Daphnia pulex: one gene and its partner. The protein of the gene in region 1 purifies or fractionates together with the protein of each later gene. This does not show direct contact. Links are inferred from orthologs where the notes say so. Each region holds a gene or a part of one and is shown on either strand. Other genes may lie near its edges. The genes, in order: exocyst complex component 3-like and exocyst complex component 7-like.

Region 1 (16,459 bases):
CCTACCTGGTTTAGTTTAGTTGAAACGGGAGAGCACATGAGACGACAGTCAATACTGCTGGTACTGCACAGATCTAACGAAGTCATATATCATAGCCTTCATAGGTAAATGTACTTTTCGGATAGCACATGTGACAGGTAAATCAGGATGAAATCATACTGACGTAGAACTGTTGATATTCAGTCCAGATGGTTGAGATTTTATAATTAGTATGGGGGAATCGAGTTCCAAGTCCGAACTTAGTGTCAATTCAAACCAGCGGTCAGTTTCGGTACCGGAGATTAAGGCTGTTTTAGTTTCTGAAAACATTCAACCGAAACTACTGAAACATAACTCAAATAGTAAGGGCATCAAGAAGATAACACTTCAAGAATACAGAAAACAGGTTGGTCACAAAGTGATCAATCAAAAATCCACTCAGAAACTTGGGATCACAGTAAGTTTTTGTTTCTTTTTTTACATTTTCTATTACAAGTAAACTGTGTTTTTGTACAGGGTAAACAAGAGACAAATTCAGAAGAGAAATGCAGTGGGCAATCACCAGATCCAGATAGTGCTAATTGCCCCCACTGTGGACATTTGGTTTCCACTAATAAATGTATGAGGTGCATGCGCGTCTTTGAAAAAGAAAAAACGGTACCTCTCACTTCAAATCTTAAGTCATTACCTGGAAACAAATCATCCGGAATCTCTCAGATGTCAAATGATTCATCATATGGCTACCGACGCACTCGGACTCAAAATGCTCAACCTTCAAGACAGAGTAGAGCCAAATTTGAGGAGCCACAGTGTGTAACACTGAGTAGCGATGAAGATGATGACTCCTTTCAGGAAACCAAAAAACTCAAATGTGATGGTACCGACAAATCAACTGAAAAATTGGATGTTAAACCTTCAATTGTGATTCAAGAACAGCCAAATATTAAAGAATGTTAGTTAAACACATTTATTTCCTCTGCTGGTTTTTCTTATTAATTTATCTTACTTTTTGTTTCTTTTAAATTCTTTGTTTTTCTTCTAGGTGAACCTTTAAATGGTGTCTCAATGGATTTGCCTATTGATGCAGAAGAGGAAATTGGATCTAGTGATTTGCTCCGTTGGAAAGAAGGTGGATTGAATGGACCTTTCTTTGCCGTAAACTGCCGATCTGTTCGTATTGGATCATATAAGATTACTCCAGTGGGACGTGTGTTATTCTCATCCGAAGGAATTATGCTGCAAGCTCCAGTTTTTCACAACCACGATGGGCCATCAGAAAAAAATGCTGTTTGCGTCAATGTAGCTATCCCAAGTCAGCAACTATTAAAAGTGGACGCTTTTTTCAGCCGAAAGCTTCAAGTCATCTTCCTAAATGTTGGTCCAAGCTGGTGTCGCCAGCTTTCAACAAAATTAGGGTTACCCAAAAGTGGCCCATATTGGGATTCTGCTAGCGAAGACGAAAATAAAAAACGATTGACACTGCTGCCCGATGGGTTGGACGATGCAGCGAAGAACGCAATCAAACAAGTCTTCGTTCCTCAAGGTGTTTACAACGAAATTAATCAGGCCGAGGCCAACCGGCTCTTGGTTATTTCCTCACCCCCAGAAGTTCGTGATGCGCTTAAACGTCTCCCCGCGACCACTGCTGTATCAGCAGAAACGAGTGTTTCGACAACTGAAACGCAACTGAATGGTGGCAAAGACGACACTAGCAAAGTTGAAGTAAGTAGTCGTAATGCTAATACCAATAACTACGCTATTGGTTAAGTGTGTACTTCGTATAGTTGAAAGCCGAATTTGTGCCTAAAATCAGTCTTCATTCTCTTCTAGATACGAATAACCAGGGGATCCAGTAAATCTCTCGCAAGAACTGTTTTGCCAGTGACTCCAATGTTTTCCTGGTCGGATGGACCCGACCGCTTCTCAGTAACCACTGAAGATTATGCTTGTTTAAATCAGGACAATCTACTAAATGACAGGTAAATTTGGCATTGCACCGTTGTCTTTTTCTGTAATTACCTTTAACTATTTGCTTTGTTTTTCTTTTGCAGTATCATCGACTTTTATCTTCGATACGTTTTCAGTACTAAAATTGATGAAAGTCTGAAGAAGAAATGCCACGTATTTTCATCGTTTTTCTACCAAAGGTTAACGACTCGCCCACCCAAAGTCAATGGACGGTACAAGCTCTTAATCTATTACAACAACCATTTTGAAGTGTAATTACTCTAGAGATGAATTTACGCAGGAAACATCCAATTGAAGATGACGATTCCCTTTCGATAAAGGAGAAACGTCATTCGAGAGTTAAATCGTGGACAAAGAAAGTGGACATTTTTGAAAAGGATTATCTCGTGATACCCATCAACGAGCGTAACCATTGGTTTCTAGCCATTGTCTGTTTTCCTTGGTTATCAGGACCGGTGACCGCCATAGACAATCAACCCATCAAACTTCGCCCCCAACAAACATACTCCAAGAAAACAACCGCCGACTTACAGAGGTCATTTGTGGCCGTGAACGGTGAATCGTTTCACATAGGAAATACCACAGTTACGCCTGTTAACTCAAATTCAAAGGTATTGATGTCTGCCTTTATTAGTTTAAACGAGTCGACATGATAAACGAACCAATTTGTTCTGTTTGCTTGTTCTTATCCGTTCTTTAGTCGACCAAAGATGACCAGATTACGTTGAATGTTGACACAGAAAGAGACGAAGCTGAGAGCGACGAAGAAGAATTATCATGTGCAATCGACCGCACTCCAGTAGAAAAATTGCCAGAGATTGCTGGTCCTATCAAACAGTAATTCAAATTCATTTTTGTCTTTTAATAATGCTTTACAGTTTGCCTTTAGTGTAGTGTTTTTCATGCGACATTCTTATGTTTTATTCTTGTATTCTAGGCCTTGCATCTTATTTTTTGATTCATTGGCGGGAAGCGCACACAATCGAGTTGCTACGACTCTTCGCGAGTATTTAATGGTGGAACACCAAGTAAAGAAAATGAAGCCAAATGAGAAATCAATTGTTGCTTTCAGAAGGGACGCCGTTAAACCGTCAACCAACCCCTTTACTAAAGACTCGATGATATCGGCATGCCTTGATGTGCCTCAACAAAATAACTCGTACGATTGCGGGATATTTGTGCTTCAATACGCAGAATACTTTATGATGGTAAGTTAAAAATTTTTTATTTAATTTTTTTATTTTGCTGAATTAATGTTTTTATTTCATCAATTCAGAGTCCATTTCTGGATTATAATTTACGGAATATAAAACTAAGCAATTGGTTTCCACCTCATATTGCCGGAAGGAAAAGAAAAAACATCCAGTTCTTATTGATACGGCTCACCAAGGAAACGAATCCTTCAGCAGACCAAGTTCTGACATTGTTACCTCGAGATGACGTCAGAATTGCACTTCAAGACCGTAATAAGACTGCGGCCGCTACAAATAAAGAAAATGGTGAAATTCATAGTGAAAATAAGACGGAGGCGATGGAGGAAGACGGCAAATCTGAGGTGTGTCTCGATAAAGAAAAGGTTGAAAAGGGAGCCAGCCCATCAAATATCGTGTATGACCAAGAGGCGAATAATGAAATGGAGAAATAGATTTTTTTTTTCTTTTTTGTTATCGGTTTGTCGTTCTCCTAAACTAAAAAAAAAATGTTTCGACTGCGAGAAAAAACTGGTTACCAACGTGAAAGGTTTCAAAGTTTGTTCAAAAACGTGACGTCAAACACATCGTCAGAATCAGAATATCAAAGTCGTGCTCTAGCTATCGTTCATCAGCCATGAAATTAATTGCCACCGGACATAAAAGGTAGCGAAGAGAATGTTAGGCTCGGTAGTTTTCAGAATCGGTATTGATACTCTTGGCTATTCTACGGAAATCTTTTGTTTGTTTTCCCTTGGTATCCATTCCATTCCGCATGTGATCTTTCAGCCGTCACCGTTATATTCCGAATGAAAAGATCGATAATCGCTTTATGAAAACTGCACACGTTGGTAATAGAACTGGGCCTATAAGATGGCATATATATTCCACCTTTTCCTTGGTATGTCACAGGCACGTGAGCTCATTGATGTCTAATTGGATGTAGGTACAACCGGAAGGCCTTTGTTGAGAACATGAAAGGAAAGGCTCGAATAAGACGATCTGCTTGTACGAATGTCGATGACATGTCGGCGGCTAACGAAAGTGGCTTAATTGTCACTGGGTTTTTTTTTGTCTGTAAATCAACTCTGGAGTGGGATGCGCAACCAAATCATCCCGTTTCAATTGAAAAGGCGGCGATTGAAGTTGACATCGATTCACGCGTAAGATCTAAATCTAATTTAGTCTCGAAAAAGCTACTGTCAAATCATTAATTCAATGTGTAGCTTACATTTATTGTACTTGTACGGGTGGGGGGAGGAAAGTGGTTCTTCTAGCTAATGGATAGATGGATAATATGCTAACAGCATGAATAATGGACGTATCTCATTCATGAGCAGCCAGTCGAACTGCCGATGGAAGCCAGGGGGAAGTCCTGAGCAGAGGGACCGTGCTGTATTCCATCAATGTTCTTTTCCATTATGTTGTGTTGGCGATTCTAGCGAAATATTCTTTTCTTCCTAAAGATGCCTTTCCTTCAACTGGTGTTATTCAGATGCATATGTGACCATTATTTTCCAAATATAAAGTGATATACTGTAATCATGGAAGCAGTCCAAACGCGTATTGGTTGAATACACGGTTTTGCCAAGAAAAAATATCACGCAGAATCCACCTATTTAGTTGTTATACGTTCATATTGAAACTCTACACTTTTACAAATGTATACATGAAATAGGTTGACTTAACAGATTGATTAGTAGGTAAAATTAAACGCAATGATTAATATCCAAATAACAATTCGATGTAATAATTAAAAAACCGTTTCAAGGGAAATGAATTCTTAAAGGCTTCCATGCCGCAATTGAATTGCCGACATTGAGGGTCCCAAATGATAATGTGCACCTTGCAAAACCAGTTGGCACAATTTTGGCTTTCACCTCCTTTCATGCAGCTGTTGGATACTTGGGAGGCTTTTCAGTTTCTTTACAGTATATTATGAGCGATGGTGTGATGAAGCTGACAGAGTCTAATCTGCATGGATTATGGAGACTGCGCGTAGGATCGGGATATGGACGAGAGGAGAGCCTTTCTTTATGTCTTGCTGCTTCCTCTCCAGCAGCATCTATAATCCTATAAAAGAGACAGCCATAGAAAGACAAGGAATCACTCTCTGGCTGCTCGCACCGGGATTGCAACAGTTTTATAGCTCCGTATTTTTTCAAAAGGTGTCAAAATCATTTGAGTTGTCGCATCAGCAGCAACATCACTTATCAAACCAAAGGCGGAAACCATCATCTCACAGCATCAGGAGCGATGGATTGGAAAGTTTTCGTACTAGTGGCTATTCTGCCTTCCGCCCTGAGCCTGCCTATGGAATTGTGTTGTCAGAGTAGCAGCAGCAGCAGCAGCAGTATTGCTTCTTCTTCTTTGAATGTCAAACTCGACTCATCGATACCTGTTTCAGATTCGGAAATGCTGGAGCCGTTCATTAGCCCATCGATTAGCAGCAGTTCGAAAACGCCGGATCCGGTGCTGATGCTGATGCCACAGCAGCACCAAGAGTCGCCGTCGTGTTGCGGCAACGATAACGATCTGCCGACAGAAAAGAAACAAGTCAAGAGAACACGAATGAAAATTCGTGGCACCACCAGTAGCGGATTACGTCGAACCAAACGCTTCCCTATTCATCTCGATCCGCTCTATCAGTATCGGTACCTCGCCAGATCGGGCCGTAAGTCTTATATCATGTCTTTCGTAATTTCTTTTGTAATGTCGACCGAACCGAGTTGATGGTATATGCACAGATTATCTGGTATCTACTCAGACAGTTTTAAGTTTTATGAATGATCTGTCGTTGATTTATTATCCGCATTGTTTGTATAGAATGCCCAACGGCGAAGGACGGCCAACCCGAATTTTATTGTCCCACGCCAGACCGAAATGGCAATTGGCGTTGCATCGACGACTTCCAACTAGTAGGACGCTTTGATTCATTATAGTTTTCTTCGAATGAATAATACTCATGTGCACTTTCGCGATTGTAGTGTGACGGTGTGCGTCACTGCCCGAATGGCGAGGACGAACTTCCGGTCTCCTGCCTCTTTTATCGTGTGGTAAGTTACTTGGATTGATCGCTTTGCACAGATAATTAAATTTGTCTTTTCGTTTTTTAAAAGGTTGAAACTCATCTTTTGAGCGTAAGCCAACGGCTTAACAGCGACGAAAACCGACAGCGAGGTGTCCCTCGCTAAAGTGTCCATCCTATAGCCGAATTCTTATATGGTCTCATTATAACAAGCCGCTGCCATTCGTTGTTCTGATTAGTTCCACGTTTCTATGGTAATTCCCGACCATACGTCTATAAGAATTACAGTGCTAGTGTGAAGGCGCCTTATAAGACGCTGGAAATTCCACGAAACGGGACTGGATATGGACACCATTGTGTTATAATTCAGAAAGTTCTGTGCGCAGAGAAATCATCAAATTATTTCATATCATCCTTTCTTGAAAAGAGAATGAATAAATGTCAAATAGAATTCTCAAATTAAACCTCGCGTCGCATTTTTTATTGACACTCCAAATTACGCAACGCTTAGTAAATAAAAACTGAGTTAAAATTCCAAGGGTGATGAACAAATATATAGGTCACACCTCGAAGAAGATTATTCATTTATTATTCCGTGATGTAAAGTTAATTGATTTCTGTGAATTGTTAATAAGCCAGATAGATATCTAAAATATTCATCCATGCAACGAGAAGTTGCGGTCCCAGGAATCCGCAGGAATCGCACGTAAAGACCTTGAAGGATCTGGGGAATTTATAATTCATTCCTAGCCCGGGCAACGTCGTTTGTGAAGACGAAACATTCGAGTTCTAAGTAAGGAAACTCATCCCCAAAACAAATGAAATGGCTGCTCCGAGTATAAAACATGAATAAAAACAACCCTTGGTAGTTGATGGACCTTCATTTCAGCGCTCTATATCGAAATACAATGGATGTAGAATCCCCATCTGGATATGATATTTTGCATAATGGTTATAGAGTGGGATTACAACCGATGCTTCGTTGCGGTCTCATCTCACGGTCGGATCTCCTCTCCCGGAGAGCGGCATTGGTCAGATCGACATGTTATTGCTACGGCAACTCTTAAGCGACTACGCATAGACGACAACTATGTTGTATTATACGGTAGATTTCGAAGGCAGATGGCAGAATGGATTCAGCAGATGAGAGGTATATATATAAGTATAGATGCACGAGCTGCGCGGTCATCGTGTAATGTATGCTGAACCGGGGGTATGTATGTACGGGGGCCGAGCATCAAAGCTGTTCTCTTTCAGTTTGGCTGGCTGTCTCTTCAAATCGTGTGTCAATCTGTTTGGATCGGACGCAATCTGTCAGTCCAGACAAATTTGACCTTTTCACTATTGCCATTAAACATGACCATCGATTACTGCTTTTTGCCATATTATCCTTTCTAGCGCAAGTAGAATGCTACAATGAATCATTTGCCATCAATTTAAAAGTATAACAAATAAATAAAGACTCCAGTTTGGGTTTATCGTAGTAGGTTATACATGGCGGTTGAACATCCGATGCAATGCTGAACGAATGAATTTACGAGCAGTGAAAAGAACAATACCGCTATTATGCCATAATAACGCCTACGGACAATATGCTAATTAACATTTGATGGAAAGAACAAAGTTTCGTCCTAATTTGCGTAAGATACTCGACGAATTAATGCAGCGCCTACGATCCTACGTGAAACAACAACAGTTTTTGTTCAAGAAATCGAGCATCAGATGTTTCTACAACGAAACAATCGCCTAAAAGTCCCGTGGGTTGCCATCTTTATAAACGATGCGTTAGTTTACATAATCCCGTTTTGTTTTCGCTCTGTTTTTCAGATAATGAGACGATCCCTTTTTTTTAGCAAGTATCTCCTATGTATTTTTATTTACTCGATGTATTATTAATGAACATCTTTGACGAAACAATCAACTTACCACTCTACATTTTAACAGGCGTGCTGTGTTGCATTATCATTTCCGCAAAACTAATTGGTAATTGGCTCAATGCTATTATCCCTTTATATTAAGGCAATTTGTTAGGCTCACTTGTTGTTTTACGCACAAACTATAGGATAAAACATAGTTGGACAACGTGCTGTGTTATAATAAGATAAATATTTGAAATTGGGCATTATCAAAAATCGTGAGCATAACGGGATGACTACCGGATGTGTAATTAACGTATAAAATCGATTTTCGAAAAAAACAAAGAAAAATAAAATGACAAAATGTAGAGTAGGCTACCTACCTTCCCAATCGATCCTTTCGCGTTTCCCCCTTACTAATACGGCGCTACGCCAGCCGTTTTTTTTTTTTTTTTAACTTTTAAAATTTTAATTAATAGATTAACCTTTAGTTACTTAAGAAAACAGTCAGCCTACTCGTTGTTATCAAGTGTCACACCCTACACACAAAAAACAAAAAACACCGTGGCTTTTCCCATACTAAGAAAAACTAATCTATAAGATATAGGTCATAGGGGGAGAAACCGAAAAACGCGAAAGAGATTAATTCATATTTAGGTGGGTGCTGTATTTTGTTAAGATGATTTCAAAGATATTGCGTAATAAATAGGAGAAAAATTAATTAAAATAAACCGGCAAAGGCGAGAAGAAATATTGGAAAATCGATTGTAAGCCCCAAAATCGATCTCTAATGAACGCCCAGTCGGCCCAGTGACGAAAAACTGCCAGAGTGACAAATCATGGAATAACAAATAATAATAAAATATTTATCTTAAATATACGAAGGTGATAATTCTAGCAACCACAAGGAGCGGAGAATCAGGTAATAATTGAGGAATCACTAAAATAACCCAAAACTGAATAACAATTGTGACAATTGAATGTTAAACTAGGTTGTCAACAAAACACAAGTTGTTTGTTGTTTTCTTGGTAGTTGTAGGTTTGTGATAATAGAGAAATGAATATTGAAGTTCTTCAAGAAGAGGCAATGCTCTCTGCTTCTGTTTCATTGTCATCAATGTTGCAGCGCCCTGATCAGCTTGAAAAGGTAAAAGCTCATTTTTTGGATTGTTTCCGTAAAAAAACCTTAAAATGTAAACAACATAATTATATGTTATAACCTGATGTTATGTTTATTTGTTTTGTTTTTGTTTTATTAAATTTAGGTGGAGCAGTACAAACAACGAGTAACTAGGAAAAAAACTTCAGTTGAAGCAATGCTGAAAACAGCTGTGCAAAGTCAACTTGATGGTGTGATAAGTGGGCTGCAACAATTGCAATCAGCATTGGTTGATATTAATGACATTCGTCATAGGTATCAAAGCACATTTAAAAATGTTCACAGATGACTTCTAGACTACTACAATTATTATATTGTGTTATGTTGGCATTTAAAGGTTACATGAAATTGAAGAGTGTGTCACAACAATTCCCACACTATGTGAAAGTGTTAAAAATGTAAGGCAAGAACATGTTGTTTATTCACAATATGCTGTTGCCATGGAAAATTTGAAACATATTTTCACTGTTCCAGAAAGGTAACTTTTACATAGTTTTTTAAATTTTAAATTACTGTTTTTCTTTCAATTGAACTACTCTAACTAATTTTCAATGGCAAAATTAAAAGACATAGTTTATAATCTGGGATACATTTTAGACTTTAGTCACTAGCTGCAAGTTATTGGCCAACTAAACATGAAAATATGATGCTAAATTAACTTAGAATTACCAGCTTAAATATAAGAAACTTAGAAATGTTATTATTTCATTATCAATATAGAATATAACCATTAAAAATCCGACTTTTGTTCTAGTGTCGATAAAACTCGCCAGTGGATATCCGAAGGAAAACTTCTTCATGCGCATCAAAGTCTTACGGATCTAGAGAACTCACGTGATGACTTGCTCTACGAACTCCACAGGTTACCTAATCATTCTTTGCAAGATAAGCAAATGCTTAAGGTCTGAACATATTTTCTATTTTTATTCGCACGATGTAAATATGTAATACTCATTTAAGGAATTGTCTCAATCCGACAGGCGTATTTTTCTGGAGTGCAACAGTTGTCAGAACAATTGGGAAAGCAGCTGTGGTTACTTTTGGGTAGATCTTTGAACACAGTTCGGAAGGAACCGCAAGTGATTGTTACAGCAGTTCGAATTATTGAGCGGGAAGAACGTGCGGATGCTTATGCGGTGCAGCGTCAAAAGCAAAGTGGATTCTTGCCACCGGATAGACCAAAAAGATGGAAAGGTGATTTTCAAAATGTTAGTGCACATTTAACACATTTAATCTGTCTTATTATATCAACTTTTAGCAAGAGCACTGGAAGTTCTATACGATGCGGTCGTTGAAAGAATAGAGGGCAATCAATTCGAAGAGAGAGCTGACAATAAAATGTGGCTAGTGCGTCACCTTGAGGTGACTCGTTTGCTGATTATCGAAGATCTTCGTGTGGTGAAAACTCTGTGCGCCCCTTGCTTTCCTCCTCATTGGGATATCGTCAATCAGTTTTACCAGAAATATCACACGAGCATCAGTAAACACCTCGAAGAAGTGATTACAGCTGGCCTGGTTGGCAATGAATTTGTTACACTGTTGTCATGGGTGCTACAGACATATCCAGGTCCAGAGCTTCTCCGACACCAGGATGTCAACATCGACCCTACTTCCTTAGGGCCAATTTTGAGCGATTCTACCATAGAAAAGCTTTTCCAGGTAGCTCCAGAAATTTGTCATAATCTGCTCCTTTATACGTAACTTATGACATTTGTACATTTATTTAGGAATATATAAGTAATATGGCCTCAAACTACAACGACTGGATGCAAAAGACTGTTGATGCAGAGGCCAGGGATTGGAGACGACCCATCGTTCCGGAATCGGACGGCGATGGTCATTATCACACCGAGTCGATCGTTATCATTTTTCAAGTAATTATTCTTAGTTTCTTTTGGCAAATCGTGATGTAAAACGATTATTCACTTTTCGTTTTAACTCATTGTTTAGATGGTGGAGCAAAATCTAAGTGTGTCGCGTACAATAAGCAACGAATTGATGATGCGGGCATTGATTTTGGGACTGGAACAAATCACGCAGTATGGAGAGATGTACCGAGAAGCGATAAATCTTTTCAAAAACAAACACTTTGAAGATAGAAGCCAAGTATTTGCGTCGCAATACAGTTACATTTAGTGAATTACTAATTGGTTCTCTCTCTTTCAAGGTGCCTTATTTTACACACTACATGATCGCAATTATCAACAACTGCCTGCACGCGATGGAACTTTCTCAGCAAATGAGATCTCGGAATGGGAATAAGGGTGATCAAAGTGGCACTTCATCATTTTTCAACAAATTCGAAATTCTTAGCCAAACTTACGATGTAAGGCCTATAACCTATTACTAGTTTAAAGAGGACCCAAACTAATAGTGATTTGAAAATCAGAGCCTTAGGAATGAGGCAGCTGGATTTTTGCTAGATGAGGCTTTCCTGGATCTTGAACCACACTTTCAGGATCTGTTGACTCGCAAATGGGTCCTGTCGACCGTTCCCGTGGATACCATTTGCGCAACTTTGGAGGACTATTTTCAGGTGAGAGTTATTTCCCCGTGCCATTTGAAACACCACCGAGCTAATGTATTATGTATTTCAGGATTACATGCACTTGAGGCCACGCAATTTTGAATACGTCATCCGGCAAGCTGAAATATGCATCACTCGAAAATACATAACGTCCATTTTCCAGAAGAAGCTGTCGTTGAAAGACGAACGAAGAGAAGTAGCGGACAAAATCATCCAGGAAGCTGGGCAAATCGAAGCTCTTTTAGCTCCTGCATCTCTCAGTCGTGCTTTTTCGGCGGATGCTCCTAAGGTCACCGAAGATGCGGCAAAGGCGATATCTGCTTTGGCCGAAGTCATCAAATGTGATTCAGAAATTATAACCCTGGAGCTCATAAACTTCATCAAAAAATACCCCGATGTCAGTCAAGATCAGCTCACGTGTCTACTGAGTCTTAGAGGAGATTTTGGAAGAATTGAAGCCCGCCAAAGAGTGGCCGACTTGTTGTCCAGCGGCTCCAAAGACGAGAGTGCTAGATCGACGATTTTTTCTTTGATTACTGTTCCAAGTTCCATTTTCTCGTAAACACTCTTTCTTTATCTACGCATGTTATCCGATTTAATAAAAATGCTACAGCATTCAATAATGTTTGTAACACCAACGACGATATTGCATTTTCAACGTGTCACAGTTGAATGCGCGTATTTTCCGGGGGTTTCCAACTTCAATTACGGTTCCTTAAGTATCATAACGGCAAGTAACTATGTGTGCGTCACCGAAATAACGTTAAATTTAGTTTTGGCTTTTGGTTTATAGTAAAAAATCGATATGCGTTCTTCCTTACCAAAAGGGAAGCCTAGTAATTTCTCAAAGTATAGCCGTGTTGGGATTACATTTCAAGTAATCTAAACCGATTTTTATACCGTTCATCTCTTGTACTGTTTCACATCTTCACGAGTTATTGTATGTGGCCTAGGTGGCTTATTGGCTTCATTGCTACACAAGGATTGTAAAATTTCCGTTATCCGAAAGTGGATGAATCGAATAGTAGATAAAAATGAACGGTGGTTGGTGGTTTTTTAGTCAAATGTGTGTACGTGTATAGAAATAGGGCAACTTCTCGACATTTTCATAATATTTAGACCGCATTGAATTTCAATTTTAAGCTATTTTCTCCCCCAACAGTGAAAAGGAAACTCAACTTTACTTTTATGCTGCCTTTTAGTCTTTTACTTCGCTTGGAGCTGGTTTGCTTGTGTGCTGAGTTTGAATTGAAGTTAAATGTATCACCAGTAGATGGCCTAGAAGCCCGCTAGGCAAAAAAAAATGAAAAATAAACAGCTGTTTGCACTAGTAGCTGACTAGCTGTTAGTCTGTTACCTTTTTCCTTACGAAAAACCTATGCCGAAACATTACATTTTGACGTTAAGGTGAACAGCGTTTGCAACATGGCTTCAGTTTGAATACTTGGTAGTAACTAGTGCACGGAAGGTGAGTAATAATATTTTCTCGTGGTTTCTATTGCCTTGCCAAAACCGTTTGTCTATTTAGAGTTTTGTGCATCATAGACCCGTTACTCAAGTCCTTTCAAATTAATGGTTCGGTGTTTAGTTTAAAGTTACTTATAGTGTGAGGTGTACTGACACGTCATTTGAAAATTGAAATACTAATCTACCTACATGTGTCACCACTCATCAGAAGCAAAAGTGACATGTTTATCTTGGGCGTCGTTGGGACCGTTTTTTTGTAGATTACGACTACTAGCAATTAAATTGAGTCGGTTACTAGAGATAAGTTCTTTTAGGTGTTTATCGTTAGTGTATAAATATCGGGGATTTTTTCAAATGTCAAACATTCTAAAGAGGCGGTAAAATTGTAGCAATCACAGAAGGAGCACGGTTGCAAGAAAGCGTATATACATTCCACATGTGTCTAAAATATGATGCCAACAAAAGGAAATGATTCAAATGACTAATCTCAGTGCTTTCATCAAATCAAATGATTTCAAGCTGAACATCTTGAATATGCATAATGCCATTTCTTAGAACACTATATAATGGATAGTCCTAAGAGTAATTCCAATAAATGGAATTGATAGTGAATATGTTTAGATTGTTTTAGGCACCGAGGTCACCTAGCTTAATTACGATCGTCCTACATATTTTTGTTATCATTCTCTAGACGTCGACATTTTTCCTTGCCACTTTTATCTTCGCAACGTACATATTTGTATATATCTTTACACAATAGGGAATTAAATCGAGCTTAACTTGAAACAGTAATAATTCTGAATTATTTTATTGTCGTGTTTCTGGGGTTGTATCATTGAATGAGAACAGGTTTTGAGTGTAAAGTGGAAGTTCCGATGGGCATCCTACTATCCTAGTGAAAGTCAAATCCAACGTGCGCACCAATTACGGAATGATTTTGAAAGCATATGACCTTAAGCACTGCGATGCAGTAATGCTCGTAACTCTAAGGCTATCCAGATAGAATGCACATTCTCCTTGAAAGATAACATATTCAACTGATATCCCGAATGTCTTTTTTTTAAATCGTAAATGTCACGTTTCTAATGATAGATTTGTTATTTATGAAATTATTGCTAGTGGCTCGTAGTTAACCACCGCTGACGTTAGGAATTTTGGTGGATCACGAAATTGAGAAAGTTTACAATCCCGAAAAAGAATTGGGTGACTGAAGCGTAATATTTAATGCGCTTTTAAAAATCTCACGAAACTTCCGGATCACCTTGATACCCCAAAAACTTTAAGGAAAAACACGAATTCGAAGTATCTCTGTTGTTTGGGCGTGCCGCTAATGATCCAAGGCCCTTACAACCGTACACTTTCTCTTGGTGTTTCTTTTTTTTTTTTTCTTTTTGCATATGAGAATGTCTAGCGGGTGTATACAACGGTGATAGTCGTTATAAATTATTGAGGGTCTATGTTGCCAGAGCCAGTTGATAACCGGCAGCAGAGACGATAGGTTGTTGTTTTGTTCATCTCTCTTCGTAATCTTTTGTCAGTCGTTGTGTATTATAACCTTGTTCTTGCGACTGTTGGAGCGGCAGACCCTTTCCTGTTTTGCAGCTCCTGTCCTTTCACTGAAATCGGTACACAAGAAAGTTATCTGGCTAGTAGTAGTTTTTTCTTTCTAGCTAAGTATGCCAAGTGAAAGGCAAAAAGAGAACCATTGCCAGAGAGGTTCTCAGTAATTATGTTTTTAAAATTAGATTTGAGTGACTTTCTCATGTTCGATTGTTTTCGCTATGATTTTGGGTTACTTTAAGGCAAAGAGAAGCTAACTGTTATGGGAATTGTTCATCCATCCAATAATCTTTAACGGTTTCATCCCTTCTAGTGAAGAAAATTTGAAAAAAATGGATGTTACCCAACTGGAACAGAAATTGAAAGAACATGGACAAGAACACCTTCTCCAGTTTTGGCCGAGTTTGTCTGAAGAGGAGCGAAGCCGATTGCTCCATGAACTCAACGAGTAAGTTTAGCATTTCTTCGTATTATAAAGACATTTTTTTGCGGTGCTCAACTAACTATTTTCAATATTGTGTAGCATCAACATGCCGGAGGTCATTGAATTCTTTCGCCACACGATAGCATCGGCAAACGACGAGGAAGAAAAACTGGACGAACATTTGCAGCCGATTCCACCTGAATTGCACGGGGCAATTACCCGGACCAGCCCCGAACTGTTGAGGCATTACGAACACCTTGGTGACTGACTTAAAAAAACTCATTAATTATAGTCGGAAGTGCATGATTTGTTATTGAGTTGATATTTTTTTGGGTACAGCCATGGAACAGATCGGCCAAGGTCGCGTTGCTGCTCTGCTCCTAGCCGGTGGACAGGGGACACGTTTAGGTGTCGATTACCCAAAAGGGATGTTCAATGTCGGCTGTCCTTCCGGGAAAACGCTCTATCAGTTGCAAGCGGAAAGATTAGTACGACTCCAGCAATTAACGGAAGAAAGGACTGGGCTAAAAGGAGCCATCCCTTGGTAATTGCAAATTTATTTTGAACCTCTACAATCTGCAAATAATATCATTTGAATTGAATCACACGACAGGTACATCATGACAAGTGAACACACGAAAGAGCCGACCCAGGAATTTTTCCGCCGCCACGATTTTTTCGGACTCAAGGAGGAAAACCTGGTGGTTTTCGAACAGGGAATGCTGCCTTGCTTCTCTCTGGATGGCAAAATCATATTGGAAACCAAGTCGCACGTCGCCAAAGCCCCTGGTCGGTGTCACTTCAATCGCGTCACAAATCGTACGTTATCTGAGAGCAAACAAATAAAGTGAATGCGTTCTTTCTTTGTGTGATAAGATGGTAACGGAGGGCTATACAGAGCCTTGCGTGATCGCCGAATCCTCGACGACATGGAGAGGCGACAAATCCAATACATCCATGTTTACTGTGTCGACAACATTTTGGTCAAGATGGCCGATCCACATTTCATGGGATTCTGTTTGAGCAAAGGCGCCGATTGTGCTGCTAAAGTGGTGGAGAAAGCATTTCCCACTGAGGCCGTGGGGGTTGTATGCAAAGTCCATGGACATTATCAAGTAAAAAAAATTTTTTTTTTGTCCCATTTGATTTGTTTTTCAGATTCAACTTTCTAATATTTTACTTTTTGATTATCTTTTGGCGTGTAGGTGGTAGAGTACAGTGAAATCACATTGCCGACGGCCCAGAAGCGAAACGCTGATGGAAGACTCACATTCAGTGCTGGAAATATTTGCAATCATTTC
Region 2 (16,403 bases), on another chromosome or scaffold:
TGGTTTTCTTAATAAATTTACGATCCAGTGGAATAATATCTTAACATAGCAAATGTTTTTGTTTACTGTTTTTAGGTGATTGACCAGATTGCTTCAGGATTCTTCAGCCCGAACAACCCCGAAGAGTTCCGTGATATCTACAACAACCTTATGTACCACGATCGTTTCTTCTGTCTGGCTGATTATGACGACTACATGGCCGCCCAAGAAAGGGTTAACGAGGCCTACAAGGTAAACACACATAGCAAAGCAATTTTCGAAATAAAAATGAGCTAATATATTTTGTGTTATTGGCTATGCAGGACCAGAGCGTCTGGATGAAGATGTGTATCCACAACATTGCTTCATCTGGTAAATTCTCCAGTGACAGGACTATCGCCGAATACGCCCGTGAAATTTGGGGCGTTGAGCCTACGTGGGATAAGTTGCCTGCTCCTCACGAGCCTATTGAGGAAGGCAAATGAAATGTTGAAGCGTCTATTTTGTCACATTTGCATATTATAGGAGGAAAAGTTTGCAAAACGTGTTCACAGTAATCATCACACAATCATGTTACAACTCGACTAATCTTTTGTAAGTGGAAGAGTTGTAACCCGATTGAATAATGTGTGGGAAAAGAACGATCTTGTAAATCTTTTAAAGCCGTCTCTCCAGACTGTTGTAGCCACAATGTCATTTATTGTTCATGTTTGTTATTTTTCTTGAATTCTAGCTTCGATGTTGTTCTGTTTCTGTCACAGAAAGAACTTTAATGTGAGTTTCCACTTCTTCTCTTACCATTTTAAAACTATTGTGGTCATTTTCAAAATCCCACCTTGTTTTCCTTTCTTTGTAGTCAAATGTAATGAGAATGAGGAAATAGATATAAATCCGCATTACAAATCTCACAGAACATTCTTGTTTACGATTGTGTATTTTTCATATTGTTCCAACTTAAAGTTGCACTTTCAACTGGCCCTCGCGGAGACAATTACAAAAACCAAAGAAGAGAAAGTAGAACGGAGACAACATTGTGAATAGATTATGCACATCTAATTAACGTCCATTCCAAAAAATCAACTCGGTCTCAAAATTCTCATCAAAGAATACCGAGGTATCTAAATAACCCTTTTAAAATTTAGTTTTTTTTCACGATACAAACGATTAGTTCTAGAGAACAATTTCTTCCTGTGTTTTTTTTAACGGAGAGAGATCACGCTCGACCTTGTTCAGAAACGAGGCGAAAAGCATCAGAGGATGAAAATTAAGGTTATCAAATTGATGCTGAGGGCGAGTTGTGCAGCATTTCAATTGGACAGAATGGCGAGAGGAAGACACTGAAACCACTGATAGTTTTGTTGAACATTTTGGGCATGTACACCCATGAAAAAGAGTAAGAAAGAAAGAAAAAAAAAGGGAGAGTTGATTGTAATGCACTTACGTCTTCTTGCAAAAGCGGATGTGATAACGGAGAAGGAACAAAAAAAAAAAATAAATTCAAAGGTAGGAAGAAGAAAGGCAGAAAGAAGAAATTAACAGCTCAAAGAGCAGACCGAATCAAAAGTCGAGGGATTTTAGAATGCCAAATCTGTTGAGATCAGGGATATTGGCATTCTTGTTTGTAGTTAAAGTTCTTTATACGAATTAGAGAAGAATTCACTTTCAAACCTAATTGTGCTCTTCTATCACAATTTGGTAAAAAAAAATTGTAACACATTCTTGATTGATTGTCGCTGATTAACGACGTCGCCGAATTGACATCGATAGACATAACATCTTCTGGCTCTCATCAAATAAATATTTCCTTTAATCTGAATAAAAAAAGGAATACAACATCGAACAAACAAGCTTCTTATTTAGCCTCAATGGCAGGAATTGCAAAAAAGGGGAAATTTCTTTTTTTTTTTTCTTTCTGCGTAGTGATCCTTGCTGGCTTAGGCCGTGACAAAGATCGCTCATCATCAGCACAGTTCCTCGTCCCTAACCCCCTGTACTCCGCAAGAACTCTCTGATTCTTTAAGCTCCGAAGCCTATCAAGTTTCCGAACCGTTTAAACTTAACAAAGCCAACATTCTCGAAATGCCTGATCTGCGAGCTAAGCTGCAGTTGATTCCAACGGGACAACATAAAAGCTTATCGAACCCACTTTTCTAAATTTCTTTAGACCAAATATATACATGTAACATCAAAGCCATTCAACAGAAAGGAAAAGGTTTTCTCTTAAAAATTTTCTTAGTCGCGCCTGATCAAAACTAAAATGTCTGCATTTACGTTCGCGTGAGAGCTGAACCGGACGCAAAAAAACATGCGAGTGATCGTCTCGTCGAATCTGATCCCATCAACCCACGATTCAAAAATAAGCGAAAGACAAAGGATAAAGAAGATGAAAACAGGATAGATTGTCTAGCTTGTGGACTTGGAACGCTTACGCTTCCAGCAATCGGGAAACAAACGTCGATATTCTTCAGCTCTCAAGTGTGCCTCGGCGGTGTAAACTTCTTTTTCTGCTGGATTCAATCGTTTCCATGCATCTCCTAGCATTACACTGATGGCCCTGTTAAAACAAAAAAAAGGAGTTTAGAAAAAATTGTCAGAGACGAAATTAATGGATAATCACCTGTTATCACGTCCTGGGAACTGTTGAATGAGCTGGAGGCGATATTTTTGAGCGAAAAGCATAAATCCATTCATTGGGCGTTTAGCAGGAGAAGGGGCCAAGCTAGAGGACGTATCCTCACTCGTGACCTGATAACGTTTTTCATTATTCTTGGGTACTGCTGGTGGCATGACGAAATCGAACCTGAAAAACAAACATATTATTGGTTTACTTTGCATTGGAAAATATTGACAAATTTACCGTTGCAATCTTTCGCACAATTCGGATGTTCCTGGTTGAGGCTCGCTGTGTACGTAATCCTCCCTAGAAAGGGGCCCTCCATGAAATGTGTCAGATTCTTCTCTGCTTGCAGCAATATTATCAGGCGATTCTTCTTCCATTTCATTTTCCTGTGAAGTGGAATTAAAGAAAAAGAAGACGAATTGTTTTTAATGGTCACATCAAATGTTAAATTCTGAAAAGCGCTATACCTCCAATTTCCACGGACGACACTGGGCTAATTCTTCTTGACTGCTGCTGTGCAAAGATGGGGCGGGACTGAGCAATGATCCTGACCAGGAATACGATGAAAGTTTTGGATGAAAATGGGGTGGGAAAAAGGTTGAAGTGGGAGGGAAATTCATAGGAGATAGTGGGCTAGGAGTGGCAGGAGTGGGAAAGGCAGGACTTTGAGGAGCAGGGTAAGTGATCATGGTCTTTGTCTCAGAATACACACAAGGTTTTTCTTTTGAAGAAGTTTCAATTGCTACACTTTCTTGGTCGTCCTTTACTCCCACATTTGAGCTCATGTAGTCACCAAACACATCAGATTGATCAACTGATTCTTGTTTGATGACTGATAAGCGGCTAATATGTGGGCTGGTGGGTATGAACCCATAATATGTGCTCCGTTGCACAATGGCAGAAGATGGACCAGGACTAAGTGAATTGCAACCACTTTCATCATGAAATGTGGTCCAACTAAATGCTCTGTAAAAGAAAAAAGTTATGAGGAAGATTCAAAATACAATCAGGAGGATCAAAAATAAATTTCTAACCTTTTACGAAACGGCAAGTGCTTTTGATTTGAGCTAGCAGGACTTCTTGGGCTGGCTGAAAAGCTGATAAAGTCACTAACACTTTCTGAGCTGGTTAAATCCAGTGGTCCCCTTTTGCTTAAATCTAGTGGAGGCGGGATGGGCTTGATTTTTCTGATGGTCTGCTTAATGCAATGATTGTTTATCACTGTGGGGGTTGTTTCATCGGGATCGCATCTTGATGCCCTCCCATCGACAGCCCCCTTATCGATTTGGGCTGCCATTTTCTATTGAAGTTTATGTTAAATAGTTTTACAAAAGAAGGACAAAACATATCCCATGCACATGCTATAAAGATAATTTACCTTGCTTGCCCTGATGTTTCTCTTCTGGACAAAGCTTCACACCCAATCGTGAGCAGCCATTGTTTATAATAAAAATGACATTAATGTTTGCCGCTAGATGGCATAGAGTCCAGTTAATAAATTTTACGCTATATTTTTTTTAAATTATATAAAATTAAACGATAGGATGGATATCAATCACCATATAAAAACAAATTACCGATAAGAGAATATAAAGGAGATATATTAGCTCAGTCCTGATTGACTTCTGCACTATTCCATATTGAGGAACTCTGTTTGAAAATGAATATGAAAATATCTCGGAAATTTGAATTTTGGTTTCTTTAGTAATTGACGAACAAATCTATACCTAATAACCTCAAAATCCCAGGATCAAAGTGACAAAAAAAAACAGTCCTCCAAACACAAACTGCAAAACAAACAAAAAACCAACTTTATATTGAGTAGGTCGTAAATACTTGTTGGACACTAATGTGTCTGCGCATGTCGACAAGTGTTCGATGCTAGTCTGGACATCCTCGTCGTTCTTTGTATATAATCTATGGGAACATGCGTCAATAGGAAGTTTGCTATTATTAATGTAATTTTTCACTGTTTAGGCTACGCATGTTCCCTTAATGATATTAAAATCGTGGGAGATGTCAGTATATGTTATTTTGCAATTGGAGACCGTCTTTTGTTCGCCGGGACTTGTGACTATTATAATAACTTTTTATAAATAAGAAGTTTCTCGCACCGGGGCGCACGTATTAACTAGCTGGCAAACGCTACCACTTTTTGACGAGGATGTTGTATTGATCTACCAATAGTTTTAGAATCGTTCAGCCGCCGATATCGGGATGAACGATTATTGTAGTTTATGTATAACATGACGTATCAGACGGAAACGGTTATAAGAAAAAATTATCACACATTTTTAACAATTTCAATCATTTATCGCAAGAAATTATCAATGATTTCGTTTTTAAACCATGCTTGGCTAAATTGAATATGGTCACCTTCCACTTGTAGGAAATGGAGTTTTCCTTCATCATCCATTGCACGTAAACCAAGGCGATCCTAAGAGATTTTTTTTTAAATGTAATTAATAGAAAATTGTAATGTAAGACACGATGTACTTCAAGGTAAAGTTGCGAATCTTGAAGAGTGTAAGTTGAGTTCAAATCATTCTCCTTATAAAAACCGAACCATTCTGCACGGATATATTAAAGGTGAAGAGTAACACACTGTTAAAAATGTCGCGATTCAATTGAGCTTTAAAGCGGCGCGTACCTGTTTCAATTGGTTGGACAACTGTATCTTTAGTAAACTTAACCATGACGAAGTTTTTCAGTTGCTTAAGGTTATTTTTGTATGTATCATTTACAGACTATTAAAAGAAATAGCAGATAGTTTCGATTTCAGTTAAAAATAGGACCAATGAAAAATTCTCATACCCTTTCGTTATTGATATCCGCAAGAAATACACTTGCTTTTTTGTATGCCTTTTCATCTAGTGGATCATGCCAATATTCAGCAGGAGTAACAAAATTTTGAATCCATCTTGATAAAATTAGTTCTGTTAAAATTATTTTTGTAAATGTATAGGTCTCAAGTAGACAAACTTTTTGTAAGCTCCATGATTAAGTAGCGAGCGAACATAGTCACAAAATTTGACATCATCTCCTAGACAACGGGGTAACCCATATACACCTTGGTGTTGAGAGCCTAAAGTGACTAGATTTACCATCGGAGGATCAGGGCAACGTTGAGCTACAGCTCTCCTATAATAAGCAGAAAATTAAAATGATTCAAAGATAATCTTAACTATTCAACAATAAAGATATAATTACAAGAACTGCCCCCCTTGAGATACCCCTAATCCATGATATCCTAATGCTAATTTAGGGTCATTTTTGATCAGATCACACACAAATTCAACTTGATCGTTTGCATTCTTGATGTATGCATTTTCAAAATCCTACATAATATTGGAATTGTTGGTGTAAATTTTTAATTGAGCTATACTGAATTAATACCTCACGAATGGTCTTGCCAATCTTCAGCGAAATTACATAGACCTCAGGAATTTGTTGTTGTATAAATTTTTGTAGGCCCCCAATACTCAATGGATTGCAGCAAACATCACCTACATACCCATTTCAAAATTTATCATGAAATTGTGAATGAAGTAGAAACCTTAAATGTGATTACCTAATCCGTGCCAGATCACAATTGGTAGTATTGATAAAACCATTTGACAATTTATTAATAAGAGGAAAACACACATTAAGGGAAGTGTGTACTTCATTCTTGATTCTTTACCCAAGGAGGACTACTCATACACTTACGGGGTCAAGCTAATAAGTTGGCTTGGAATTTAGACAAAGCAGTTACGTAATTGAATTACAACCATGCACGAGTTTCTCACGTTGACATTTGACATTGACATTTGTGTATTTGACATTTCTTGGTGCTGGGCTGGCTTCAAAATTTATTCTTTTTTCAAGGTTAGTGTTGACTATTTTCAACAGGTGGCCAGGTTGGTTCATAATCGATCTCAATAGAGGGCTATTCAAGCGATCTTAAAAAAAAAGAATGTTGCAGGAAAAACAACAAAATCGTAAAAAGGTTATTAAAATAATTTAAAGTCGCTTCAAAAAAACGTAGAACTGCGGGTCATCGAAAGGGTGACGGCAAAATAGTTCACGAGTCACCACCGTTTTGGAGTTTTCCCATTTTTCTACGACACAACTTCCGTGAAAACAAGAACCCATTTAGAACTTAGTAAAATCAGATTTCCATTTTACCTCAGATTACCTTTTACCAAAACAAACTGGTATATCTGAGCGCTTTTTTTCTTTATGAGCCGTATTTCGTCATTAGCCACATTTTAGTGGGGCTCGGATTGCTCCCATGTGCTTGCGATTATAATGGACTCAACGTTGAATATTTTCTTCCATAATAGACGGCGACGTCTTTTTTAGATTTTTTTCTTTGTCCAACTTCAACTTGACGCACCAATCGAGGAATTTACTTTTTTTTGTTAATTACCTATTTACCTACCGTCTACCCTACCGAAATAAAAGACCGTTTTTTTCTAGCCGGTAGATGGCGAGAAACGAAACAACTGACAGAAATTCAGCAAAATGTCAGATTTTAATCATAAACATGAAAAGGTTACTTTTTTGTTTTATATAGGCCTACTTAGTTCTTCTTTATATCATTTGATTTTATTTGTTTTAAATACTAATTTTAAAGGTTTGAATATTAAACTCAATTTCTTGTTACAAAATTCAAATTTCTTTGCTGTGACTGGATACTCACATATATGACTGGTTATATTGACATATTGTATCAAACAAATAATGGGTTTAATTAATGATTGGTAAAGGTGCTGACAGGACTAGTCTTTCTTCAAGATGCTGCTTCTAGAAGTTCTCAGCTTACTAATGGAATGGTCAATATTTTGACTTCATTTGATGAAAGGCTTGCGAGACTTGAAAAGACCATTTTACCAGTCTACAATGAGACAAAAAATTTGCAACAGAAACAAGAAAGTAAATTATTAATGAGATCTCATATAATATCAATATTTCTTGTATTTCTAAATTTACAAAATCTAAATTTCTTTTTAACTTTCTTCGTGTTTATAGACATTGATAAAACATTAGCCTCTTTGGATCATGTCATTAGCTATTACAGTGTCAGCAAGGAAGTTGAGCCTGTCATAAAAGAGAGCCCTTCAAGTCAGGGTCTAGAAATTTTTCTCCAATCCCTCGGTCGATTGCAAGAAGCTATGCATTTCTTTGAGAGAAATAATCCACAGAGTGTGGAGTTAGAAAATGTTGTAAGTTTCATTTTTATTTACAATCACCATACCTTACAAACTTAAAAAACAACTTTTGTATTAGATGAGCCTATTTGAAACTGGCAAAGATAATATTATCAGCGAATTTAAAGAACACCTAGCAAAACATAGTCAAACCATTCCTGCTACAGCACTTTTGGAAGCTCTAGCAAATGATGAAGGTGAACCCCATTTATCTATAACTACCTGAAAATTCAATGTAATGTTCCATTTTCATTCCAGAGGAGATAAGTATAAATCACTTCTCTGCAGATGTGAAAGACAATTTGATGCAAATAGCTGATTGGCTTGTAACTCACAATGAAGATGACTTCATGAATGTAACTTGTAATCATCAATCATTAATCCACGACATATTAAATAAACTTTGTCACTGATTTACTTTCCAGGTTTACGCTCGGTTTCGCGCAAATACTGTGCAGAAAACCCTTCTTGGCCTTCGTGATCATTTGAGAAGTTCATCTACTGGGGTATCGAGTCACCAAGGCGTGAGTCCCGTAGCTGCCATGTCGGGAACGGCTACATTGCTGGTAATCTAATATTTATTGTGACTACTATTAGGCAATATATAATGAACTTCTTTTATAATTTTCAGGCAAAATCAGGTGTCAAAGCCAGTTATGACACTCCAAGTAGAAAGACATCTAAGAAACTACAGCAAATGCTTGAGCGCAAGGCCAACCAAATGCTTTTGAAAGCTTCTCAAACGTTGGAAAGCTCTACAGGACTGGCTTTGGGCCCCAGGAGAAGCGCTGCGGGTGAGAAGACGAAATTAAATTTATTTTACTTTTTCCCAATTATCATTATTGTTTCTTCTTCAGACAGTATAAAAGAAGATGCTGTCGAAGAACACGAAATCGAATCGTTCTTAACCGAATTCACGGCACTTTTGCGACTACTGCAGAGTGAACTGAGACTTATGTTGGGTATTGTCCCTTTGCCGCATCAAAAAGCTGTTCTGTCTATCATTCTCAGAGACGCATTGGAAATGATCTGTCACGATGCCGAGGTTGGAAATATTCTTGATTCAATTTCATCGGTTAGTCATTCTTGTACTTTACTAATTTTTAGAGCTTAAGCGGCCGAGCGCGCCGAAGTGTTTCTCGTCAAGAGTTCGGTCCCGTTTTGCTTCTTTTTCCTGCCTTACGCCATTTAGTGTGTTTTAAAGGCGACTGTGATAAATTGCTGGAAGGATGCGATTCTTCTGTTCGCACACGATTTTACGCAATGGTTAATAATCTCCATACAACCGTAAGCTAATAACTCACCATAATTTAGATTCGTTTTTATCACTGTGTTATTTTGTGATTGATTAGTGCGGCAAGGCCCTTGAAGACTTTGCAGAATCTGTGCGTTCTGAATCTGCAGCTCCATTGCCTAGAGATGGCACGGTCTATGAAATGACGAGCAATGTCGTTCTTTTTCTCGGCCAGTTGACTGATTTGTCTGACACAGTCGGTCCGCTTCTCGCCCAAGATCAAAGTTATTCCAACGCATTGGTACACACTCAACCCTGGCCGAAACCTCAGAGAAACAAAGCTTTACTAGGACTTTATATCAGTAATTCATTTTTCTTGTTCAGGTTTAACTTAAAATCTGGTTTGATTAACAAATTACCCTTTTTTTTTTAGAAAAAGTGTTGGTTCAACTAAATTTAACTTTAGTTACTAAAAGCGATGCGTACAGCGATTCTTCTTTGCGCTATATTTTTCGATTAAATAACAGCCACTATTTGTTAAGCGCACTACAGCGTAGTGGCCTACTAGACCTGTTGAAGGTAAAGCACAAAATTGTAGTCAAAGTAAATGTAATCACATATTTTGGTGTTTTTAGGTTGTGGAACCAGAATGCGAGCCGATTTACCGAGAAATGATCAACGAACAGAAGAGGCTTTATTCTCAAAGGTATTGATACTTTGTTCCTTTCCTTTGAATTTTTTGTTGAACTCACCGTTACTATTCAATTAATTAAATAACCTACAGTTGGAACAAGGTCTTAGCCCCAATATGGAATTCGGAAGATGTTCCAGCATCTGTACTTCTTTCCGGCAGGTTACGGGAAAAGGATAAAGCTTTAATTAAAGAAAAGTTCTCGGTAGGTCTTCAAAAGTTAAAATATAAGCTTTACATGTGTTAAAATGTTGTTTTTTGATCCGATAAATCTTTTAGACCCTTAACAAGGAGTTTGAAGAATTGTCCAGAGAGCAACGAGGTTATTCAGTGCCAGACGTTGAGCTTCGCGAGAGTCTGAAGCGTGATAACAAAGAGTACATCCTGCCGAAGTATCAGGCTTTCTATGACAAGTACAGCAACGCGCAGTTCAGCAAACACAGTGAAAAATACATCAAGTACTCACCGGCCCAAATTTCATCGGTAATCGATACATTTTTCGACGTTGCTGCATGATGATCAAAACGATCAAGGTTAACAAAAAATCATCCTGATTGTATTTTCAACACCAAATTTAAATTTATTAAAAAATGAAATTACAATAGCGACAAGTCTGAATTCTATTAAAACAAAGAGGAAATTATATCCTTCAGCGATGACTAAACAGCATGTACACACTTGTACAGGCACATTCCATTCCATTTCACAAATAAACAAAACCTGCTAAACGTTCAACTTTGACGTGTAGAACAGGAGACACATGAGAAAAATAAAACGGCTCTACCTTGTTTTGTGCATAATACTGATGACAGCTGTTGTCTTAGAAACGTAGCACCGCTAGATTAAACTGAGCCACTCGAAGGACGTTTAAACGCATCAAACAAATTCTAGAAAACAGATAGGACGCAACACTTGTCATCAGAAAATTCAATTTTGTCACTCCTTCACACCCGAGGACTAGGATACTATTTAGGGTCTTGGTTGGTAAGCCTTCGCGTTCTCGTCAAGCCTGTTTTGAGCACGTTTTACCATGTTCATCCCAATGCGCAACCTACAATCGTTATTTAAAAAAACAAAACGTTACAAAACAAGTATACAATAACTGAATTGCGATATTACCTGACAGTCACGGGAACAGTAGAATGTGGTTTGACACCCGCTGCACTTTTGCTGAGCTTCTTGTCCACACTTCAGGCAAGTGTAAAGCGGGTGTTGCTGTGGCTGCGGAACATCTCGTGAGAGTCGACGAATGGCAGGCTGTCTAGCAATGTCCGACTGCTGGCCAGGAAAATGTCTTTGCGCTTGAGCATTAATTGGCGGCGAAGACATGGGCATATGGCGTTGCTGCTGCATGATTTGGTGTTGTGCGTTTTGCAAGGAATGGGCTTGTGAATGTGGAACTTGCTGTTGTTGCATTCCGCTCAAGTGATGTGATACTGTCGGCTGATTTGTCAGCTGTTGCGAGGAAGATTGTTGTCTTATTCGCTGCTGCTGAACGGGTGCTTGTGCTTGTTGTAGGTGCGATCCAAGAATGGACATATTTTGCTGGCGCGAGGGACTGTCTCCTGCAATAGGACCAGCCAAACGATTGTGAAGTTGCTGAGATGAGCCCAATGACTGTTGCGAACCATTAGGGTGCATGTACTGGTGTTGTAGTGTCGCCTGTTGCTGCTGTCGATAAGGCCCAGCTTGGTAATTGACGGGTGCTTGCATCCGATTAGACTGCAGGTTTTGAACGTATGCTTGGTGTGCAGTTTGCTGTGCAGTTTGTTGTGGCCAAGTAGAATGTGGTGGTGGAACTGTTTGCTGAACCGCAGGCATGCGATGTCTACCTGTGTACTGTGCGTTAATTATAGGTACAACAACAGCAGTATTTTGCACTACAGTTGACTGATATGCAACCATTCCGTTATTCACGGAGTTGCCAGTCCATCCTTGACGTGGCATACCGGGATGTCCCTCCATCGCAACAGTGTTTGGGCTGTGTTGTGTAGGACCAGGCGTCTGCTGATTAACCTGACGATTTTGATTGGTGATCATTGTATTCAGCGCACCGATGGGCGAATGATCGCCTTGCGTAACAGTGTTAACTGGAGTCCGGTCGGCTGATGAACGTTCGACTGAATTTTGATTACTAGCTTGCATTTGGTTTGCCAATGTTGGAGATCGGAATGCTTCTGGAGTAGCTAGATGGATCGTAAAAGTCGGCATCGATGATTTCCCCGATGAGGGAGAAAATTCTACGCGAGACGGAAGTATAGCTGACTGATCTTTATACTTTGTCCCAATGTCAATAGCGGATCGCAGGTTGTTTTCTAACATTTGCTTCATATAAGTTGAATCCACGGCTGCCATTCCGTACCAATTAGCTTTTTGAGCTTGATGAATGATCGAATCGAACAGTAGAGCGGCCGTAGTATTCTTCTTAAGCATTAGCCGATAGAAAGGTATAAGGTAATCTTTCATTATCCCAGCACTTTGGCGCAACAATGGGTTATCACGGGCAATGTTAGAAAAATCCTTTGAACAGGAATAACTGCATTTCCAGTGGGTAAAATTGCGACAGCCGTTCACAATTTCTTGATACAGAATCGCTTCATCATCCGAATTAGCCGTTGGACTGTTTGGATTAATAAACTGGGCATAGAAGGGGTAAGCTTCACTTAAAGACTTCAAGGAAATAGGGTGTGGAGACAGAGCGAACGAAGCTGGAGTTATATTTTGGCTAGTAGATGCTTGAGTAGGTTCAGGATTGGTCAAGTTTTCTACTCGGAGAGCAATAGGATTGCTGGATGGCGTAGACTGAATGATGGATGGCGATCCAAGTGTCGTGGTTGTTACGTTAGATAAAGTGGGACTACCACCAGCAACTGATGTACTCGGTATTCTCAAACACATTGGCTGAGTCTGAGGTGAAAAATCAGTTTCCATAACGACAGGAGATGGCACTTCTGAAGAAACAGCAACAGTCTCTATGATATGATATGTTGACCCTGTATCTTCTATCAATAAGTTTGATAATGATTCAGCAACTGTCACTGGTGGTACCGTAGTTGGCAACTGTTGTGCAAACGGAAACTGATGAGGAGATTGTCTTGAATCAGGTGAAGTTGGATTATCTAATGCAGAATTCTCCGGCTGCGTGGCAGGTTTCGACGCAGTTTCTTCTTTTTTTTCTTCTTGGATTTTAATTGGAAGCAACTGACACAGTTTAGGAATCAAATATTCAAATTCCATGTTGTCGTCTATGACTGCAATGTGCTGTCTTTTCACTTCAATTTCTTTCAGTTTCTTACAGTATTCAATTTTGATGGACTCCTCTTCAATGTCAACAATCCGTAGACATTTCCCCTTTCCATCGTCTGCAAGTTCACTCAATTTGGACTTGATATTTTCAATTTCAGAGGTAACTTTGCTTAGGTATTCATTCAACTCTTGGCTCATTTGACGAGCCTCTTCCAAACGTTTCACAAGTGTTTCGTGTTCTTCATTTTTCTGTCGGAAAACCTGTTCGGCTTTTTGATGAATTGCTTCTGTCTCCTTATGCGTAGCTGACTTATTTGCCACCTGCTCTGTTAGATCAGCAACGAGCTTTTCATTGTCACTCATATCATTAAACAATGGATGTGATTCGACAAGCTTAGTGTCACCCAAATCAAGCTGCTGTCGGATCAACAGCACTTGTAGCTCCCTAAGCTTGATTTCAGTTTGAAGAACCATGTGATGAGTCCTTTTCTTATCCGCCGCTAGTCGGTTGCGTTCTTCACGCGCAACATTGACTGCGTCTGACAGTGTTTCAACCAAAATGACGTCCGCGGATATGGCAGTATTTTTCACGGTTAATTCTTCTTCCAATTCTTTAGACTTGAGTAGAAGTAGCCGCAGTTCTTTGCCCAACGTTTTACGCTCAGCAATAATTGCTGACAATGCGGATTCGATCTCTATTTTTTCCAATCCGATTTGCGATTCTTGCTGATCAAGCTGCTCAGTTGGGACATCGATCGGCATGCAGCACATCTTCTTAGCCGGCGAAAAATTTTCATCTGAACTATTTTCATTATCTTTGTCTCCAATAATTGGCAATATGACTTCTGGCTCCGTCTCGAGATTAGCAGACACAGGCGAACTAGGGATTGCTGTTTCAGGAACTACTTCAACTCCCTGTTCAGATGCAGATGCAGCAGGTGATGCGCAAATAGCGCTTTCTTCTAAACCTTCTCGTGGAACTATCTGATCTTCTACTCTGTCGATTAGGTCATTTTCTGTTAAACAAAAATTGTTATCAGTCAACATATAATTCCACTGAGACAACATCAAAATGCAAACCTGGTTTCTCAACTTCCATTACGGTGGAACCATCTGCTTCAGAATTTTGTAAAGTTTCTGGAAAATATAAGTGTTAAACAAAAGCACTTACAAGAAGAGCTCAAGAAATGCTAAAGTACCTGTTTCGCTTTTTGATGTAATTAAAGCTGTTTCATTGGTCGTTTCTGTGAGGCTACTGTCGACCACCGATGAACTTTGTGCGTCATCTACTGCCAAGCAAATGAAATTATCATTTGAGCTTATGATTTGCATTATCGAATATTAATTTACCGCTTTCCTGGTTTACAGAAACGGGCGGAGAGATATCTTCAACATCATTTTGCGATTTGCTACTATGATTGCTGCTGGGTTTTCCAATTATATCATTATCGGTCGGCACAGAGAATTTGTTTTCTACTTTAAGATTTGATCAATAATAAGATATTTTAAAAATAAGAATGATAAGAATGATAAATATGGCTCTTTACCTCCATCTTCTGTTTCTTTGGTTTCTTCGGGTAGTTCCTCTTCACAAACTTTATGGGACGAGCCGATTTCAGGTGAGCGTTCTAATGTAACGTCCATTTCATTCTCTGTAGCATCATTTAAGGGGAATGTGTCGTCAGCCGTTGTGTTTGTTTTATCTGGCGATGCAAGATTAACAAATTCGGGTTCTACGTCGTCGGTAGCACTGTTAACGCTCCGTCTATCCATATCCATATCAAGGGCAACTGTTGTGGCAGAATCACTACGGGGAAGATCGCAATTCTGTTCATCTTCCACTAGTGCATCAATAACTTCTTTTGGCTCTTCAAACACTTCTTCATCTGTGATTTCCTCATCAGCAGAAGCGGGCTTGGGAATAGAAACGGAAACTTCCCCACCTTTGTCTATCGCGACGGTTTCTTCACTACCATCAACGTCTTCGCCATTATCGGACTGCACAAAACCAAAAATGTTGATTTAATTTAATATAATCACCAAGGAAATCATTTCGTATACATACTTGCTTCTTGCTTTCTAGCGTAGAAATATCCAAAGGGCATTTGCTGCCGTCTTTCGACTTCTCTTTCGATTTCTTCTTCTTTCTTTCGTGCTTTCTATCTTTTTTCTGAGAATGCTTGGTTTGAAGTTCCGATGAAGATAAACCGCTTCCACCCGTTTCAGTGTGATGGCCAGATTTTGCAGCTACACTCGTTTCTGAACTAGGTTCAGATTTTGAAGATTTAAATTTTTCTTTTTCCAACTTTTTCTTTGTTTTTCCTTTCTCTTTATCGCTCGTTTCGGATCCCTTAGTTTTTTTGTCAAATTCCGGCTTTTCTCCTTGATAATGTTTTGACCTCTTTTTCGAACTGTCTGAATCAACACTTTCATCTTTTTTTAGCTTCTTATGGGTTTCATAGACAGCATCAGCTTCTGTGAATGCATCTTCCAATGATGCTTTTCTTTTGAGACAAGTGGGTACACCCCCTATAAAGCAAAAGTATTGAATTAGCAACACACACATATGTTATAAATTTTCTATGAAAAAAATACAAAATGGTTTAAATTATACCTGTCAGATTAATCTTTAAATTGAGTGAACTAGAACTATGATCTCTGGGATCAGGGGATTTCTTGACAATTTGATATCGCTGCATGGCATCTCTATCAATATTAGCTGTACAATCTGGTAATTTGTTCTTCACACATTTCTCAATTTTCTTCAAGAGAACAACAGGTTCAGAATTTAACTGGTACAGAGCTTTCAGCATAGTAGAATGTTACCCTACAACAACAAAAAATATGATCAATCAAGGTATTTTGTAAAAGTATGTTATTTTTAGTTGGCCTTAAAAGCTGATCACATTTGGGATATAGGAATTGTATCTTAATGTGAGACGATTAGACCAGTTTTATATGGTGACCTTAAACACACCTTAGCATGGGCAAAGAATTAAATAACTATTAGTTAACTAGATACATACATCAGAAAGACGTACATTCAAGAAAAAGCAAACAGAAAGCATAATTAATGTTACTGCCAATGATAAGTACTTAACTACCCACGCAGAGGAAAATTGTTGAGACATAATTTTGTCTTGCTTTTGACTTATTGAAAGGAGACATTAGCCATATTGCTTCACACATACATCTGCGTTTTGTACAACGCATGTAATGTTACGCACTTATCTTATCTATTGCGGTGTAAAGAAGAGGGAATTTTTAAAAGTTTAAGCTACATCATTGTTTACAGGCTTTATTTCCATTACTCATTGGTTGTTGCTTGACATGGGTATTTCCTTCTAATGATTACCTGAAAACTCAAAGGAGTATAAAAAGTATTTTCTTGAATCCTTGTAGTGATTATTAAGTAACAGAGAGAATGAAGAAAACATAAGA

Evidence for each region.
Region 2: the proteins of exocyst complex component 3-like (region 1) and exocyst complex component 7-like purify together in Homo sapiens (affinity purification with mass spectrometry; 5 studies listed by BioGRID and IntAct, counting the BioPlex papers as one, with this or other methods). This does not show direct contact. The link is inferred for Daphnia pulex from reciprocal best matches to the Homo sapiens genes EXOC3 and EXOC7.

What each region holds. Positions count from the first base shown.
Region 1 is NC_060017.1:4,100,399-4,116,857, reverse strand, and holds exocyst complex component 3-like, read left to right. Parts: upstream 1-8,791; 5' UTR 8,792-8,943; intron 8,944-9,013; 5' UTR 9,014-9,078; coding exon 9,079-9,168; intron 9,169-9,286; coding exon 9,287-9,435; intron 9,436-9,517; coding exon 9,518-9,658; intron 9,659-9,934; coding exon 9,935-10,082; intron 10,083-10,160; coding exon 10,161-10,374; intron 10,375-10,438; coding exon 10,439-10,839; intron 10,840-10,907; coding exon 10,908-11,054; intron 11,055-11,130; coding exon 11,131-11,286; intron 11,287-11,347; coding exon 11,348-11,506; intron 11,507-11,569; coding exon 11,570-11,716; intron 11,717-11,777; coding exon 11,778-12,269; 3' UTR 12,270-12,327; downstream 12,328-16,459. Other genes in the region: sentrin-specific protease 6-like, read left to right, coding at 109-137, 211-436, 496-931, 1,022-1,701, 1,810-1,958, 2,031-2,159, 2,228-2,558, 2,648-2,784 and 2 more; uncharacterized protein LOC124194259, read left to right, coding at 5,394-5,811, 5,964-6,055, 6,125-6,193, 6,257-6,331; UDP-N-acetylhexosamine pyrophosphorylase-like, read left to right, coding at 15,067-15,182, 15,258-15,418, 15,498-15,702, 15,772-15,947, 16,035-16,273, 16,364-16,459. UniProt on the Homo sapiens protein: Component of the exocyst complex involved in the docking of exocytic vesicles with fusion sites on the plasma membrane.
Region 2 is NC_060020.1:3,973,626-3,990,028, reverse strand, and holds exocyst complex component 7-like, read left to right. Parts: upstream 1-7,003; 5' UTR 7,004-7,105; coding exon 7,106-7,135; intron 7,136-7,271; exon of another isoform or gene 7,272-7,294; intron 7,295-7,350; coding exon 7,351-7,516; intron 7,517-7,612; coding exon 7,613-7,806; intron 7,807-7,870; coding exon 7,871-7,988; intron 7,989-8,049; coding exon 8,050-8,147; intron 8,148-8,216; coding exon 8,217-8,357; intron 8,358-8,422; coding exon 8,423-8,585; intron 8,586-8,648; coding exon 8,649-8,836; intron 8,837-8,898; coding exon 8,899-9,078; intron 9,079-9,143; coding exon 9,144-9,387; intron 9,388-9,458; coding exon 9,459-9,604; intron 9,605-9,660; coding exon 9,661-9,731; intron 9,732-9,809; coding exon 9,810-9,921; intron 9,922-9,995; coding exon 9,996-10,232; 3' UTR 10,233-10,318; downstream 10,319-16,403. Other genes in the region: glycogen phosphorylase-like, read left to right, coding at 76-231, 303-464; transcription factor SOX-13-like, read right to left, coding at 2,383-2,533, 2,597-2,779, 2,837-2,985, 3,067-3,565, 3,634-3,896; palmitoyl-protein thioesterase 1-like, read right to left, coding at 4,911-5,036, 5,096-5,169, 5,250-5,346, 5,414-5,519, 5,582-5,740, 5,810-5,937, 5,996-6,105, 6,171-6,267; uncharacterized protein LOC124192964, read right to left, coding at 10,720-10,767, 10,836-13,978, 14,043-14,099, 14,162-14,251, 14,313-14,438, 14,510-14,960, 15,028-15,491, 15,577-15,775. UniProt on the Homo sapiens protein: Component of the exocyst complex involved in the docking of exocytic vesicles with fusion sites on the plasma membrane.